Kluyveromyces lactis: one gene and its partners. The protein of the gene in region 1 purifies or fractionates together with the protein of each later gene. This does not show direct contact. Links are inferred from orthologs where the notes say so. Each region holds a gene or a part of one and is shown in the gene's direction. Other genes may lie near its edges. The genes, in order: TAF4, TAF7, TAF13 and TAF2.

The links.
Region 2: the proteins of TAF4 (region 1) and TAF7 purify together in Saccharomyces cerevisiae (affinity purification with mass spectrometry; 3 studies listed by BioGRID). This does not show direct contact. The link is inferred for Kluyveromyces lactis from reciprocal best matches to the Saccharomyces cerevisiae genes TAF4 and TAF7.
Region 3: the proteins of TAF4 (region 1) and TAF13 purify together in Saccharomyces cerevisiae (affinity purification with mass spectrometry; 7 studies listed by BioGRID, with this or other methods). This does not show direct contact. The link is inferred for Kluyveromyces lactis from reciprocal best matches to the Saccharomyces cerevisiae genes TAF4 and TAF13.
Region 4: the proteins of TAF4 (region 1) and TAF2 purify together in Saccharomyces cerevisiae (affinity purification with mass spectrometry; 4 studies listed by BioGRID, with this or other methods). This does not show direct contact. The link is inferred for Kluyveromyces lactis from reciprocal best matches to the Saccharomyces cerevisiae genes TAF4 and TAF2.

Annotation. Positions count from the first base shown.
Region 1 is NC_006039.1:526,338-530,369, reverse strand, and holds TAF4 (Taf4p), read left to right. Parts: upstream 1-2,053; coding exon 2,054-3,154; downstream 3,155-4,032. Other genes in the region: MVP1 (Mvp1p), read left to right, coding at 1-201; RCL1 (rRNA-processing endoribonuclease), read right to left, coding at 370-1,464; PLB3 (lysophospholipase), read right to left, coding at 3,680-4,032. UniProt on the Saccharomyces cerevisiae protein: Functions as a component of the DNA-binding general transcription factor complex TFIID. Binding of TFIID to a promoter (with or without TATA element) is the initial step in pre-initiation complex (PIC) formation.
Region 2 is NC_006038.1:736,113-741,279, forward strand, and holds TAF7 (TATA-binding protein-associated factor TAF7), read left to right. Parts: upstream 1-1,854; coding exon 1,855-4,062; downstream 4,063-5,167. Other genes in the region: KLLA0_B08261g (uncharacterized protein), read left to right, coding at 1-234; MTF1 (RNA polymerase specificity factor), read right to left, coding at 371-1,378.
Region 3 is NC_006040.1:863,177-866,349, forward strand, and holds TAF13 (Taf13p), read left to right. Parts: upstream 1-1,686; coding exon 1,687-2,166; downstream 2,167-3,173. Other genes in the region: ARG81 (Arg81p), read right to left, coding at 1-1,120; ERO1 (ER oxidoreductin), read right to left, coding at 2,504-3,173. UniProt on the Saccharomyces cerevisiae protein: Functions as a component of the DNA-binding general transcription factor complex TFIID. Binding of TFIID to a promoter (with or without TATA element) is the initial step in pre-initiation complex (PIC) formation.
Region 4 is NC_006039.1:176,855-181,959, forward strand, and holds the start of TAF2 (transcription initiation factor TFIID subunit TAF2), read left to right. Parts: upstream 1-1,689; coding exon 1,690-5,105. Other genes in the region: GOR1 (glyoxylate reductase), read right to left, coding at 1-765. UniProt on the Saccharomyces cerevisiae protein: Functions as a component of the DNA-binding general transcription factor complex TFIID. Binding of TFIID to a promoter (with or without TATA element) is the initial step in pre-initiation complex (PIC) formation.

The DNA of each region.
Region 1 (4,032 bases):
ATACTCGATCAAATGAACCGAAGCTGGTTGATCAGGGAGTGTATATTGGAGGAATTCACAATATTCCATGAAACTCAATTCTTGATTACAGATTGCTTCCAGAGGTGGATTGAAATAAATTTGAGATACACTAATAACAATGTTGACAATTGGGAAAAAATTTGCAAAAAGCTCCGCGATATGCCCCTGCAAAGACACTAAAACTATCCTACAATATTTATCTTGAATGTTCCAAGCTTTATGGAATTGTTTGATACGATAATAATAAGTGCTACGCGAAGGAATTTGTGTTGACACATATGCATATAAATTTTATATATGAATACTTATGGGAGTCATTTTGTCAGATAAAATGATATGTAATGTCAATTATGCGATTTTCTTATTGGTGTTTGTGAATCCAATACCCTTGATTGTTGCGATTAGATCCGTAGTGTTATCATCCACTGGCTTCAAGAGTATTTCTGTACCGAAAACTTTCTTGATATCCCGTAAGAGCCATACAAATCTTTCATCTATTTGATCCTTAGTGATTCTGAGTCTTCCGATATCTTCTTTACCGATGATCATGTATAAAATTGTAAGTGGCAACTGGTTTCTTCCAACAACTCCACTTTTGCTTATTTCTTCAAGTAGATGATAGGCTACGGATGCACCAATATCTTCTGGAACATCCCCAGCGTCACCGATAGCTTCAGAAAAGATTCTCCATCCTTGTTTGTTCTCTGCTACGAGCGTTAGACCCCAACCTGGACTTTTACCTGAGTTTTCACCTCTCCATACATCTGCAGTTATATTTACTTCACAACTAGCAGATTTAAGAACTTTTTTCGCACCATCAATCATTCTATTTACAAGGGAGGGACTGACTCTTGTGGAGTATGAAACACCTCTTATACTTGAAATCATTGTTTTATCCAAGGCGTGCATTGTAATCGGTTGTGCAATCAATGAATCCACAACAAGGTGTACTTCACCACCACCTAAAGGAGGTGAACCTCTCTTCAAAGTATGTAATGCACATTCCCTGACGCCAAATTTTTCCATAATCGGCATCAACCCCCATTTTATCGCATCTATTCCAGCATCATTATGTGAAGATGTTATACCACGGAATAGGATTGAGAATTTCTTCTTTGAGAAGGGGGCTAAATACAACATTGGCTCGGCAAAATAGCCCACAGGTTTACTGTTCGGACATTGATGTGTGTATGAACCACCAGTAATTATTCCTGGTCTGAAGATGACGGTGGTACCAGTGTATGAAATTTCTATTGAACTACCATTCGTTACCGCTTCCATCAATCTTAGAAAAGAGACTTCGTAATCTTTTAAACCCGGATTTAGGTCATCAGAACGTATCTTTTCTATCTTTATAGCTTTTCCTGACAATGTAGCCATTACTACTCGTAAACGAAAGTTCCGTGAACCTTCAAAGGTTACGTATCTGGAAGAGGATGACATGTCCAATTTGTCTGTTTGTCTGTCCTACTTCGTGAGGAATAAATTTCCTGATAAATCTCTTTAGAGTTTTTAATACAGAAAGTGACCTTCTATCGGACGCTAATGGAATGGTTGATGGAAGTTAACTGAAACCTTTCGATATTGGTTTTGTGTTGTATGTTCAGTTAGGCGATGAGATGAGATGAGATACGCTTTTGACAAATTTTTTGCAAGGAAAAGAAATGAGCTTCGTTACCCGGATTATGTGATCTTTCAATCTTGAAAAAATCAAAGCCAGCAAACAATAGCATCTAAATGAAGAAAGAGGTAGGAACTAGATAGAACTTTTTAGCATAATGTTTAATACTCGCACGTTTTTTTATCTTTGTTGAAATCATTAAGGTTGTACGTTTTTCGCTGAAACTGGATTTTAATTGATAGGCCGCATTTGGACCTGTTTTTAAAGATTGACTTATTCTTTTCATAGTTTATTTGCCTGCATTTTTGGGACAAGTGCAATAGGTGTCCTCAAGTATCCAATACGATTCTTTTTACCCCCGTGTTTCACCAGAGAAAACTATCACTATTGGTCTAATTAGTATAAAATACGATGGCAAAATCGCCCAAGAGAAAGAATTCTGAACCGGAAGATTTATCTTCAAATAAACGTTCCAAATCATTCGAATTTGGCAAAGTAGAGAACGGGCTGGAACCCAGTGGCTCAGATTTTGGCAGTGATCTGCCTACGCCATTCGATACTATGGTTACAGAACAGCCATTAGCTCTACCTAAAGCATCATCTCCAACTACAAACCTAGCATCTCCGCGAAACTCAAGTACGCCAAATTTGAAGACGACGAGTACGACAAGCAAACAATCACAGAAAGCAGAACAGAAGAAGAATGCCGGGGGTTCAACAGGTAGTACGACTGCCTCAACTACAAAACCACAGCAAAGTGATCCAGACAAGCTTAGTGATGCTTTGTTATCGGCCGGTGTTGATATAAGAGAGGAAGAGGCATTGCTAAGTAGCACAGTTGCTAGAACAAAAGCAACCGGTATTTCAGCAAATAACCAGGTCCCATCTCATCCTCCATTCCTACATCCTAAGAACATTTCAGATTTCATGAAAAGAATTGCATCAGAACAAAACTTTCATCAAGATTTCAATAAAAACACTGATATACTCGGATTAATGTCTACTGCATGTGAACTTTACATGAGGGACGTGATAACGAACTCTTTAATCCTATCCATACATAGACGGAAAGGTGTTAAACTAAACACGGGAAGGAGGAGTGAAGTGAGTCGTTCTTTGAGGGATTTAGCATTAAGACAAAAGACTCAAGAAGAAAGAAGAGTACAGAGAAGAATAGCACTCGGTTTAGAAAAACAAACAACGGATGCTAGGTTAGATACTGAAGAGACTCAATATCGTGCATCAAATGCAACTGCCAATTTGATGATTGCAGGGGGTAACAAAAAAAAATATAGTTGGTTGACCGCTGGATCCAAGTCCAGCTCGACAGACCTAAAAAATCAGGGAAATGTTTCATCTGCTGTTGCAGCAAGGGGTGAAATGGGTATCAAATATAGAGAAGCAAGAGAAGAACCTGGCATCGTTATGAGGGACCTTCTTTTAGCTTTAGAAAATAGGCGAGTAGGAGTTAATAATGTTATCACTAAAGGATATGCTAGAATCAGAGACTAGCATTTCCAGTTACTTTGAGGAATAATATGAGTTTCCGAGATGTTCTGTAGTATGCATACTTATATAATATAAACCTTTCGATAAATAACATAGAGACTCATACTTGCATGCGAGATTACTTTTCCTTTTCTACCTGACATGTCGCATATTTAATATTTAAAGATAGTTTTCATTTTTTAGTATCTAAATACTCAAAATCACGTCAGAGACAAATAAAGTTTAAAAAAAATAGAGTTTATTAAACCATTACTTCACACGACGCTTTAATAAGTACACTAATGATCGACGCAATTCGGTACCATTTATCGTTTGTATCTATTATATTACTTTTTAACGAATCATATCAAGATACTTTTATATACTCCAGTCTTGTCAATGATTTGGTCATTGGTCAAAGGAGATCATCTAGAGAAATTGGAAACGAAGGAGGTACAATGACGAATTCATAAGAACGAATCTGCATGAACATCTGAAAACTCAATGCATATATATTTTTTTGGTTTTAGTTTGATACTCATGGGTAAACTAGAAAGAGATGAAGACACTAGCTAAACCTCCAATCAACAAAGATAGCGTACTTCTTGGGGCCAAAATTCTGGCACTATTTTCTTTATTGCCGGAATCAGATGTTGAGGTGGAACTTGCAGAGGAGGATGTAGTGCTTGAGATAGGGGTGGTGGCATCGACAGTTCCATTCCAGCAGTATTTTTCGAAACAAGCATCACATTCAGATGGAAGTGTATAATTTAGTGATTCTTGTTTCCGTCTCAATATGGCGCATGAGATACACCCCATAAAGTTCTCATCTTTAGTGAGATTTTTCATGGTGACAGCTTCGAAACCGTTTTGGATCATCTTAAACCTTTCGGAAGTGGAGT
Region 2 (5,167 bases), on another chromosome or scaffold:
AAAAGTGATCAGAAAGAAAAAATAGAAATAAAAGCACCACAACTCACTCCATTGTCATTCTCGCCAATTTCTCCAGATTTGAGTAAGGTTAATCTTTTTGACAAAAATGGAAAACCTTTCAGAAGGGTATTCTTACCTGGAACAGGTTGGGTAGCAAGAGACACATGCATTCAAATCATGAAAGGTGCCAGTAGCCCAAAGACCGGTGAAAATACAAATTCTATCACGTATTAAGGTATGTACAGGAGAAGTATGATTAAGATGTATATATACACATATATAAATGATGCGCAAACTCGAATGCCAACAAAATTCTTGTAAAGACGATAATGAAACCCGAAAATTATGCTAAGATGGGTACGCTTTAATTCTAATCCTCGTTTTCATCGTAGAAATCCACTAATAAAGATGGTTTAAATGGCCACAGTGCAAATACTTTTGCAATTTCATCAATTTCCAAATACGTCAACTCGTAAGGTTTTTTCTTCAATAAGACTGGATCCAAACGAGAAATGAACCAATCACGAGCCCCATGCCCCAAAATTTCAATCATCTCTTCTACTGGTTTGGATTTAAGGATCATTAACTTTTGCGTTACGAAATCCCAATGGTCCAAATCTATGCTGTGATCCCTAGGGTTGATTTCAACAAGTGAAAGATCGTCTGGACTTTTATTATCTGAGGGAATTATCACGGGATCAAACTTCTCTATGCAATCTGGAAGGAACTTTTTTACTGAGTTTTCAGAAGTCGCAACGAGCTTTGTATTAGTAGCTAATTCGGATAGAAGAGTAAGCCTGTTTCTGTCTTTGTTTGAAAATGGTGCGAATAATTTCCTTGCAGTTTGCTGAGGTATCCAAACTAACATCTTGACCAGACCAAATCTTTGCATCCAATTCTGGTTCGCTATACACTGCAAATATTGCACGTATAGCTGTTCACCCTTTTTATTGGTCAAATTGGCAGCGATCAAGAATTCATTGTGAATATGATCTCTTTTCTGCATGCTAGGAGTAAGGACTCTGTCTTCATTTGTCATTTCTAAAAATGTCTCCCATTTATATGGATTTTTATTGTAATTAACCATCGATGGGTGATCCTTCAAAGTTGCTTGATACAACTCCACAAATTTCAATCGATCCTCTAACAGGACATGCTTCTTTGGTTTCAGTCTTTCATTAAGTATGACTGATTGAATCAAAGGCCCGGCGTATATATCCAGTATTTGTAAGCTTTCAGACTTGTAGTATGATTCTAAATTCAACTTGTCTAATATTTGGTTTATTACCTTGGGGTTTTTCTCAAATTGACTTCCATAACTGGTATGAATCTTATTTGCTAGTGGTAGAACCGACTTCAGAAACGAACTCTTGGTCATGATTAGGAAAAATTCTGTAGTGTATTTGACAATAGAGAACGGATATTGTATATTGGAGCACAGAACTCATATAGAAGGTGCCAGTTCCATCCAATGAGTGCAGATCTGCTGTGACTTGTTTACAACTTTCATCTGGACAAAATGAAGCGATGAGTTGAAATATGAGCTTTTCCATTTTTCAATTCGGAATTTTATAGTGATGATGACGCTGGTGTTATAAAGACACCTAGGATAGTTGCGAACTATAAGCTATGATCATCAGAAGTTTCAAACTATTTTAAGTAGTTACTCCCTGATAGTATACAGTAGTACTTTAACATGACTTGCAATGCATTAAGCCAAATTCAGCGTTAGTCTGGACGTTTCCACGTGATCAAAACTCGCTTCAAATTACATAATGGAGGAAATCGTGAAATTGGAAATAATGTTCGACGGAAAATGTTTAGCTATCTAGATGTACAGTGAAAGTAAAATGAATGGTTGACCCAATTGGTGTGACACATACGACAAGGGGTCTCTCAAAAGACAGTAAACATTCAGTTTTAGTACAGTATCCCACAATGGGTCCGATAATCAGAATTAACAAACCCAAGGAGCCTGAATCAGGCGGTGGAACGGAACCTAAACTAAAAAAGATCAAGTTAAAGACTGGAGGAAGCAGTTCCAGCAGCAATAATTCCAAGCCTGCACCAAAGCTTAAAATCAAACTGAAAAAGCGTGATAATCAAGAGGATAAAGATATCAGCAATAATAATAATGTGGGCACTTCGAAGGGAAGCTCGCGGCCCATGAAGTTAAAAATCAATCTAAAAAAACGGGAAGATTCACATCCACAATTAGTGCCGCACTCCCAATCGCATCAGCAGCAGCAGCAGCGCAAAAGTACGAGTGTTGTCAAGACTCCTAAGTTCAGAATCAAACCTGTACGAGTTCCCGGTGAAGGGTACGATTCTGAGGCCAGTGATGTAGAGGATGATCCGCTAATCGAGGAAGGTATAATTCTAAGAGTATTACCAGATTTGAGTGCAGAATTCGTTAAAAACTCTATAGAGAGTGGTGATTACTCTGATGTCAGTATCAAATGGAAGGGTGAGAGACACGCGGTTGTGAAAGTGAATGGGGTGCAATATGGTGCTGTATTAGTCAACTTGCCAAGTATAATCGAAGTTAACAAGAGTGTTGACAGAAAGAACTTATTGAAGACGTTTGACGTTAGTCAGATGTTAATATGTGTTCGTACAGTGAATAAGGAAGAAGAAGTGTTTTCTTTGCAAGTAAGCGATACGGAAGATCTTACTAAGAAACATTTTGAAGAGTATCAGAAGGAAATTACCGAGCAACGGAAACAGCAACTCAGAGGGTACAATGGCGGCCCATTGACTGATGCTGAAAGTAAAAACATCGAACAAATCATAAACAAGCGTTACGATTATAAGCATGGTATCACCCCTCCTTTGTATAATGCTCGCAACCGTCGCTTCAGACATAGGATGGGACCAACTGCCTTTGATTATGTGGAACGTACTGTTGAAAAATTATTGAAATTAGATGCTGAAGCTGAAGAGTTCGGGTACGAGCTAGTTAATGAGGATGCAATTCAACAGCAAAGGTCTACAAGTGCAGCAGATCTTGCACATTATCAAAAGGCTGGTGAGCATATGGATGAAACATCTTCTGTTGGCTACAGCCAAGAGATCAAACCACATCATGTTACAGGTGCCGCGGAAGAAGATGAGGAAGAGGATCATGAAGAAGATCTTGAATTGGAATTGGAACAAGCTCTACAAACAGAAACTACTGATGGTTCTATACCGGCAAGCATGGTTAATGGACCGGCTGGAGCAGCGATGTCTACAGATACTGGCAGTGTTGTAAGACCAGGACAACTTCTTGAGGAGACCGGTGATGACGTTGAACAAGATAACGGTGATGATGAAGACGAAGAGGAGGAGGACGAAGAGGAAGAAGAGGAGGAAGAAGAGGATGAAGAAGAGGAGGATGAAGAGAACGGTGCTGATGGATTATCCGGATCAGTTACAACAGGAACAACTAAGTCACGTGTCTCAGACAACGATGGTGCTAACGAAGAAGAGCAACACAGAGAATTATTACTTGATGAATTGAGGGAACTAGAAAGTACGTTAGAATTAAACCGGAATAAAGCCAGTAGGACTACGAATCCGTTGTTAAAGACAAGATTCTTAGAAAGTATCAAGAAGCTTGAGAAAGAAGTTGAATTGAAACGAAAACAGTTAGGAGAACCAGTTGTTGTAGACGATGCAGGAAATGTACAGACAGCTCAAGACATCTCAGAAAACGTACCCGATACTGAAGCCGGTGCAGTATCGAACAAGGCCGCAATCAGAAATGGCAGCGTTAGTAGCGGTGGTAGTGGCGTAACCGGATCGGCATCAATTCCAAACAATGCTACGATTACCAATGGAGTGGAAAACATTGGTACCGAAGGGAATCTTTATGAGGAGGAGGATGAACTAGAAGAAGAGGAAGAAGAGGAGGAGGAGGAAGAGGAGGGAGAAGAAGAGGAAGAAGAAGAGGAAGAGGAACAGGAAGAGCAACGGCCGGACGAAGAACCGCAACAAGGACAAGAAGCAAGACAAGGTACTGAAGAACTTGATCAAGATGACATGGATATGATGCTTCTTTTCGGAGCGGATAACGATTAGGTTTGAACTGAGAGAAAAGAAACCACTAAAAGAAAAACAAAAACAGAAAAAAAATCAATACCCGAAGAGACAATAAGAGATACGTGATGATTTAGCATGTTATCTGAGTTTGGAATAGCATTACAGCTTCCCATGCTCTACAAGGGTGAACGATATGACTGAATGCCTGAACGAATGCGTGAATGAGTTGTGTAATCTGAATGTATAACTGAATTTATCTAGAAGCATTTTTTTTTTTTTTAAATTCTTTAAAGGGAAGTAGAAACAAGAATCAAGACAGGCAAGGAAGTAATGGATGGAGATCAATGGGAAACACGGGGCAACAACAAGAGGAAAATTACGAATGCGAACCTCTTCTCGTTTGCCGAAGCCTCTTGACGACGGCACACAAAGGGAAAGAGGCAGCAGGTGTTAAGAGGCACCTCACTTCGCCGTTTCTTTTTACTGCCTACAGAGCGGCTGAAAGAAAAAGGCCCTGCCATGTACATCTCAAAAAGGTGAATTGCGCAAAAGAAGAGCCAAAGCCCAATGATTGACCCAGTGAAGACATAACATTTATAGAGAGTTAAGAATCACAGAATGGGAATGAGGGAAAATACCCGAATTATAATGGGTTAACTAAGTCCTGTTTTAGAACCGTTCCTGGTGGTCGCAAAAGAAAAAAAAAAAAAAAAAAAAGAGAGAGAGAAAGAGAAGCACAACTTAATTTCACCTCGACATCTTATGATATGGTAATTAGGAAAAAAAAGTACTACTGTCGGATTGATAGAGAATAGAACAGAATTGATTACTTAACTAACCAGTTTTGATCCCGTCTAATTCCGCAATCAAATACGGTCATGTATCTTGTCAACGTAAAAAAAAAAAATTGGAATTAGCTTTTGCCAAATGAGTGGGGCAAATAACCTCGTACACATACATAGAACATGAGATTAACACAGAGAAAGGCAGCTTTTCTTTTCAAAGACCATTCTCTAATTTCCAATTTCCCCTTCCTTCTCTTCCATTTCCTATCTGGTACAGCTACATAACATATAACGTAACATAGCAAAAACCCCCCTACCGATGTGTTCAGTTCCGAGAGAGACGGAGAATGAGTATTTAA
Region 3 (3,173 bases), on another chromosome or scaffold:
CTGTTGTGGGAATATCAAGTAAAGGGTTTGTATTTCCTGGACGATTAAAAATGGAGGGATCAGGAACTTGAGAGTGAATCACTTCGATAGCACTTCTCGGCATAGTAGATCCTGGAACGTTTAGCTCCACAAAATTCCTCAATGGTACAATGCCAATGGTTTCCTTTGCATGACCACTTTTAGTTTCGGAAGTAATAGTCGGAGGTGGCGGTTGATCAGAAGATCCTCTTCTATGGAAGAGGAGCCGATAGACTCTAGCCAATTCGTCTTCATTATCGTTTCCAGATGTGCGACCGTCATTACAATTACCATTAACACTACCATTCTTTTTCCCCATATTATCTACTGTGAGAGGAGTTTGTGGCGTATCCGGTGTATTATTCTGACGAATACCCATAAATGGTATTGTTTCCCCTTGCACTGCGGACGCCGATAGTAATGCATCGTCCCGTAGTTCATTTGAGATCCACTCGTTCCCAGGAAACAACAAAGAATTCATATCGAATTCGAATAGGGAATGAAGCTGCTGCGCAGATGTATGATCATCATTAGCAGATGATGATTCCATATCTTCTGGAGTGCATAAATTTGTGCCCTCTTTCGAATCTGAATCAGCAGTTTTAACCTTATTTTTCTTATTAGCTAGTTTCTTCTGAGCTTTTTCGATGGCATTAATGAAAACTTGATTCTTCTTACGTTTCTTCCGTGGCACGTACCTTTTTTTGACCTTATCTGTGCCTTTGAACACACCAAATTTCTTTATAATCCAAGTCTTGTCTTCAGAGATGAGCTCTAAAGGAGGAGAGCTTAACGCTGATAATTCATCGTCCATATCCTCATAATACACATATTCCTCTTTGTACCGAACGAAATCAACGTTTCTTCTCTGATACTGAGGCTCATCTGGATCTTTGATTCCTGTAGGTGTTGCGGTCACATTACCCATAGTGTCAAACTGAATTGGCCGGGTCCACCGAAGTTTTACATCGTATCCTCCACATATTAACCCACCTTTCTCACATCGCTCACATCCGGGCCGCCGAAGATCACACTTTACTTTCCTTGATCTACATGTCCAGCATCCCGTGAACGTCTTCACTCTGGGCTTCGCAGGCTTCATTCCTGCTTGTATCCTCTTTGACTCACAGTCGCTGTGAAGGAAAAATAGCCTCCAATATTTACCAAACCTTCAATATCAACCACACGCAGATGAGCGTCTAAATGATGCCACTGTTGGAACAATAATATCTACTAAAACCTTATCTTGAGCGGTACTAATCGGTTTATTATCATTGCTCTGTTTATCTGATCCTCAGAAGATGCGATGTGGATCTGTCATGTCCTTTCCTCTGTTCGTCTTTTCTCAAAATTTTCACACAAGCGGAAGGGTTAGGCGATTTGTCAATTTCTTTCTCGCTAAAAAGCTCCCTATATAGCTTAACTGTTGGATGGACTGCGCATGATATTTGGGGACAAAAAAACGCAAGCGATTTTTTGCTGCGAAAAAAAAAAAAGCAAACTCGCACTATTCTTCGCTGTGTTTAAGTTGACAGTTTGACATAAAACTCAGAACCAGAATCAAAATCACGAAACAATGATCAAGCTATACAGTTTAGCTTATAGCGCATTCGTCCATTCCATGGAGTAGAGCTGACTAGTCGGTTGGAGTTCTAGATCAACACAGGAATGTCCAGAAGAATTCGTAAAACAAGTCTTTTCAGTAAAGATGTTGGCTCTTTGATGTATGCGTTTGGTGATGTCGCGCAACCTTTACCAGAGACCATTCAATGTGTAGACGAATTGGTGGTGTCTTATTTGAGCGATATATGTGCCAATGCGTACTACTCGGCTCAAACCGTGAAGAGGAATAAGATTAAAGTGGAAGATTTCAGATTTGTACTTCGAAAGGACGAGGTGAAATTAGGTAGAGCTGAAGAGTTGATTAAGATGAATAAAGTTATTACCGATGCCAGGAAACAATTTGATAATTCAGAGGGGAAATCTTTGAAACGAGTGAAAGATGACGGTGATGATGACCACATTTCGGCTGATGAAGATGAGGAGACGACAACGGTTCCTGAACCCGTTCCTACCTCACGTCCGGTAGGCAGACCAAGGAAAAAGGGAAATGAACCTCCTAAGAAGAAGAAACGGGAAACAAGCTGAGAGTTACATTCGCATTACCCCTAGCATATCTGTACTTGAAATCCTTCTCTTGCTGGGCAAAAGAAGTGAAAAAACAAAGCAATCCTCATATAAATTCTATCATTATAGTATTACGCCTTTCTGAACAAAATGCCATATTTATGCATACTTAGCGGCAACATATACGTTTATTTTTTCTATTAGCTATATATTAACCAAATGAATAGCTTATGAGAGGGTATTATTTGAACATAATCACCTTTATCTTCATAATTGGAATTTTCAGCTGGTTCTCCTGTAGTTCTTAATATCTATAAACAAATTGTCATATAAAATGACAATTTGAGAGGTTTTTAATCTATTCTTCGTAGTTGTAGGATGGATATTCAAGCTCCTCTCCTTCTTCGAGATAGTTTGGAACACCAATAAACTTGTTCCAGAGTTTATTGAGCTTTAGTACAGTGTACTTACTAACAGTGGAAGGTAGGTCCGTATAACTTGTTACGATAAACCGCAACGCTTGCTTGAAATTCTTCCATTCTACATCCCATGCTTCTTTGAATACACCGCTGGCCTGTTCACGAACTTCGGTATGTGTTTCTTTCTTCTTCTCTGGCATTTTTAGATCATTGAATTCATTTACCTTCTTTTCTACGTTACTAACGGATTCTTTTTCTTGAGATGAATGATTGGCACTGTTAAACTTATCATTCAATACTTTGAAGAAATTATCCAATTGGAAAAAGGAGGCCAGTTTTTCACCAGGACTCTTTAATTGATAGTTGTACATTTCTTCGAATCTGTTAACTGCTTCCACTGACTTTGACAATCTGTCAAAAGTGTTGAATAAAGCAATTAATTCGTACTTGGTAAGTTTATCAACGACATGCTGTCTTGCCACATCGTCATCGTTATCCATTTCGAACAAAATCTTCAAACTAGTAGCATATCCAGTGGTTTGCACTTTACCCCACAATCTACATCTATCACATTGCACACAGTCCATAATTTTCGTGACATTCTTGAAC
Region 4 (5,105 bases), about 350 kb from region 1:
AGCACCACGAGCAGTGTTAACGATAACAACACCATCCTTCATTTTTGAGATGGCTTCTTTGTCTATCATGTGTCTGGTGGCTGCGTTCAATGGAATATTAATGGAAATAACATCAGATTGAGACAACAACTCTTCAAAGGAAACGTATTCACAACCGTTCTCCAAATCACTGGATAATCTATTTCTGTTGTGATAGATGAACTTCTTGAAACCAAATGGCTTCAACCTCTCAATAATGGCACGGCCAATACCTCCTAGACCCAAGACACCAACAACTTTACCCTCGGGGTCGTGACCAACTGGTGCACCAGCGGCAGCGCCACCGGATGGCCATTTACCTTCTTCCATCAAACGATGACCGTACTCGAAGTTTCTTAATGCGCCTAGCAATAGGAAAACGTGAGTATCGGCAGTAGAATTGTTGACCAACTCTGGAACGTTGGAAATTTGGATGTGACGTTGACCAAATGGCGTAGGGTCAATTTGATCGTAACCGGCACCATTGTGACAAATAGCAACAACGGATTCCGGCAATGCCTTAGCCAATTCAGCATCAAATCTTCCAGTGTTCTTAACACTTGGGAACGTTCTGGTTAAGATTTGAGCCTTAGAAATTGGTGATTCCGGATCCTGACATTGATCTAAGAATTGAGCTCTTGTGAGGGATGGGTCAATTGGAATAACTTGTGCAATCTTTGAAAGCTCTTCCCATGCCTTTTGAGCGTACTTAACCTGACCTAATCTTAAAACAACTGGCTTTGACATCTTCACTTGATGCTGTCTTATCAACCTATCCGATCTCTTCAGTGACCTTCAGAAAGAAATTGGTATAGACTTTACGAATAGCGAAGATATAATTTAATGGTAATACCTCCCCTACTATATACTATAAAGGTGCAATTGAAGTGTCAAGTCGATACCGTCGCCTTTGCAATTGCTGTAACCTTATAAAGGTTTTGATGTTCGGTAGTGGTTTTTCCTGATTGCGTTGCAAAAACTCGTAAGAAGATACCCATGCAGCGTTTTTAATGATTACAAACAAGAAACAGATAGATAGATAGATAGAGAGATAGACAGAAGACATTCAAAAAATTCCGGTTAATACATCCTTTCATCTTGTGACCACCCGGAGCTTCCATCATCTGATAAACTAAGCATGCTATACTGCAACCCATAACACTTCACTTATGGATCATGTAATGCGAAGAGAAATGGATTGCTGTGTCAATCGCCCCTAACACGGTACCGTGGTTTCGAGATACGGGCAAAATTCCCGTTTTTCCTATTCCAACCACATGCCATTTTTACCTGAAGAGTGGGTAGAGAGAGTGTCGCCAGGTATTAACAGCTTTCCAAAGAGAAAGACAATCACGTGGTTCAAGGTGGAATGAATGAATGAATGTTCAACCGCCGCTGATGCCTTGTCATCCTAACCCGCATTACCCGGATAAATTTCTCGCATGGTCAATATTCAAACAAACAAAATCTTGAAATTTGAATAATATATATGCATCTGTATATGATATTATTATTATATACGTTGAATTGATATTGAAGGTATACTTAGAGATGCTTCGAAACGTGATATAGATAGAGGCACCAGACGGAATTGATCAGACGTTGAAACTTAAGCACTAAACTACGATTCTATTTGCGGTACTTCTGTACTTTGAATTTCAAACACAGAATATGGTACAAATGAAATCGACACCTAAGACACCAGGTTCGGCGTACCCAGTAGTGGAACAACAATTTGGACCACAATTCAAGGTTGCCCATCAGAGAGTACAGATAGATGTGGACCTTTCGAAGAACTGTATAGTGGGTACTACTGAGATGATTATTATGCCATTGACCCCTAATCTCGAATATATAGCTTTGGATTGTAAGAATATGAGAATAAAGGATATCATCTTTGAGAACAGACGGTTGGATAATTTTGTGCATGATGATCCTTACAAAAAACTGTCAGACTCTTACTTGAATAATTCTGAGGATGATATACTCTACAACTGTAACGGCATAGAACAGAGCCATCTATTAAGAAAGAAATTTTCAGAGTTTAACCATAATCCTGAAGGTTCATCCAAATCGCAGCTATTAGTTAAAGTGCCCTCCTCTGTGAAGATTCTGCCGCATGACGTAAACACCCTATCTGCGTACTTAGGAACCGCTGCTGGTACTTCCGGTATAACTCCCTCGTTAAGAAACACCCCGAGCACTTTCCCTAACGACACAATATATACCCCGTTGACTTTACGGGTAGACTACGAATTGGACCATCCACACACAGGTGTTTGCTTTGATACCATATCCCCTGAACCTCATCTTTGGAATGCTTATACAACAAACTCAGAACTAAATAGTTCTGTATCACATTGGTTACCATGCATAGACTCCTTGGATGAGAAATGCACATGGGATTTAGAAATATCAGTACCTAAGAGGGTGCGGGACATAGGAACCACTAAAGTTGTTGGTGCAAGAAACCTACGAAAGAGGACTGCAAGAGATAGGAGATCCAATTTGAATGCGAATGATGAACATATGAAGGAGGAAGACGATGATGAAGATGACGAAGATGAAGAGGAAGAGGATGATGAGGATGAGGATGGGACTATCCAAAACGAAGATCTGAATAGAGAAATCGTGGTCGTATGTTCTGAAATGGCAACGAGAAAGGTAACTGCCCATCCAATGGATATGGCAAAGAAGACAGTTTCCTTCCAGATATTCACTCCCGTGGCCCCACACCACATCGGTTGGGCTATCGGTGCCTTCCAGACTATAGAACTACCTTCAATCTTACAGGCCGATGAAGATGAAGAGATGGATGAATTTAAAATACCGCAACAGGAGCAAGTGTTAGCTGATGAGCCTCGTGATGAAATTCCTATATTTGTTTACACATTGCCAACTGTCGATTTGAACGAAAAAACTATCCTCAATTCTACTCTTGTTTGCCAGGAAATTATGGATTTCTATTCTAAAGAGTTTGGTTCATATCCTTTTACCTCGTACTCTTTGCTGTTTTTACCAACTTTAACGACTGACCTGATGGATTTCACAAGCGCCACCTTTTATAATTCCAGAATGCTATATCCTCCAGAAATTATAGACTTAATTTATCCTACAACCAACACACTTGCATGGGGTTTAGCAAACCAATGGTCTGGCGTTAACATCACTCCTCTAGAATTGAATGATTTATGGTGCGTTGTTGGCATGGCGGGATACATGGTATTACAATTAATACGAAAGCTCATGGGTGTCAATGAGTACAAATTCAGGATCAAAATGGCATCGGAAGCCATAGTTGAACAGGATTGGGAAAAACAGCCAATCGGAACTACTTTTGATTCTGCTTCTTTACCTATATCAACTCTATCAAAGGAAATTAATTTTATAAAATTAAAGGCTCCAATGGTGCTTTTTATTCTCGATAGAAGAATGACAAAAACAGAAAGGTCATTCGGTATGTCCCGAGTATTGCCCAAAATATACTTACAAGCTATGTCAGGGGAATTGACCAATAACTCATTGTCTAGTACCCATTTTCAGAGAGTGTGTGAACGTGTGAACAAAAATAGACTCGAAACTTTCTTCAAGCAATGGGTATACGGATCCGGTGTTCCAATATTCCGCATAACGCAAAGATTTAACAAAAAGAGAATGGCAGTTGAAATGGGCATCAGACAAGTTCAGATGCAGGAATTAGGATTAGGTAAAATCGTTGGAAAAGAAAATTTCAATTCTAGTGCTATGGAATATTTGCAAGATCAAGACAAATCTCCTACTCAGGTGTTCACCGGATCCATGACAATCAGAATCCATGAAGCTGACGGAACTCCGTATGAACATATTGTTGAACTAAAGGATGTATTTACAAAATTGGATGTTCAGTATAACACTAAATATAAAAGGTTAAAGAGAAGAAGGAAGGTTAATAGAGTGACAAAGGAAGCGAAAGAGGAAATCAATGAGGATACACAGGAGGAGGAAAATGCCAACGAAGATATAGTGCTTATTAATTGTATGGGGGATGTACTCGTTAGCAAAGATGACTGTAATAAATGGAATTTAACAGACCCAATGACAACTTCAGAAGGCGATGACTTACAGCAGCAGAATGAGGCTTTCGAATGGATAAGAATAGACTCCGATTTTGAGTGGATTTCGAAAGTGCACATTAATCAACCTGATTATATGTTTGCCTCTCAGTTACAACAAGATAGAGACGTGGAAGCGCAAGTGGAAAGTGTCAGGTTTTTTGAAGATGTGATTTTGAACGGCACATCTAATTCCCTTATATATTCCTCCATTCTCACTCGAACAGCAATGGATCCAAAATACTTTCATGGTGTCCGTCTTGCTGCTTGTAGAGCACTTTCAAAATTTACAATTAAAGCTGAAGAACAGCAAGAATTCAAGGGAGGCCCAAGGCATCTGGTTCAAATATTCAGGGAGCTTTTCTGTTACGAGGACTCTAATATTCCCAAAAACAATGACTTTTCCGACTATCCAAAATATTTCTTGCAGAAAGCAATCCCAAAACTTCTTTCTTCAGTGAAAAATGATGAGGGTGTTTGCCCTGCATTTGTTAAGGAATTCTTGCTTGATGTAGTGCGGTACAATGACAACACTGATAATATTTACAGCGACACTTTTTATATCACGGAATTACTTGAATCTTTGGTAGACTGTTCAATATCTGATATCAACGATACAAAGTATATTGATGAAGTTATGAACGAAATCCAGAGATTTTACAATCTAGATCAATGGATGTCTTCTTATCAATTTTTGACCACTAAGACAATCCAAAAACAACGACTGAAATTGGCAGTACATGGTCTTTATCACTATGAAGATTACAATGAACTTCTAAGCTCAACCATGTTGGACCAACCAACAACTGACCATCCTGTAATCTGCCACGCAAGAGAAGGACTGCAAGACATTGCTTTACAGGCTCTCAAAATTTTGCTAGTTATAGGAGGGATCAAGAATAAGGAAGTTTTGAAGTATTATTTCGAAACGCTTTGTTTCCACCCTGATGTATATATAAGGACAAAGTTAGTTGATACCTTCGCTGGTGCAATTGA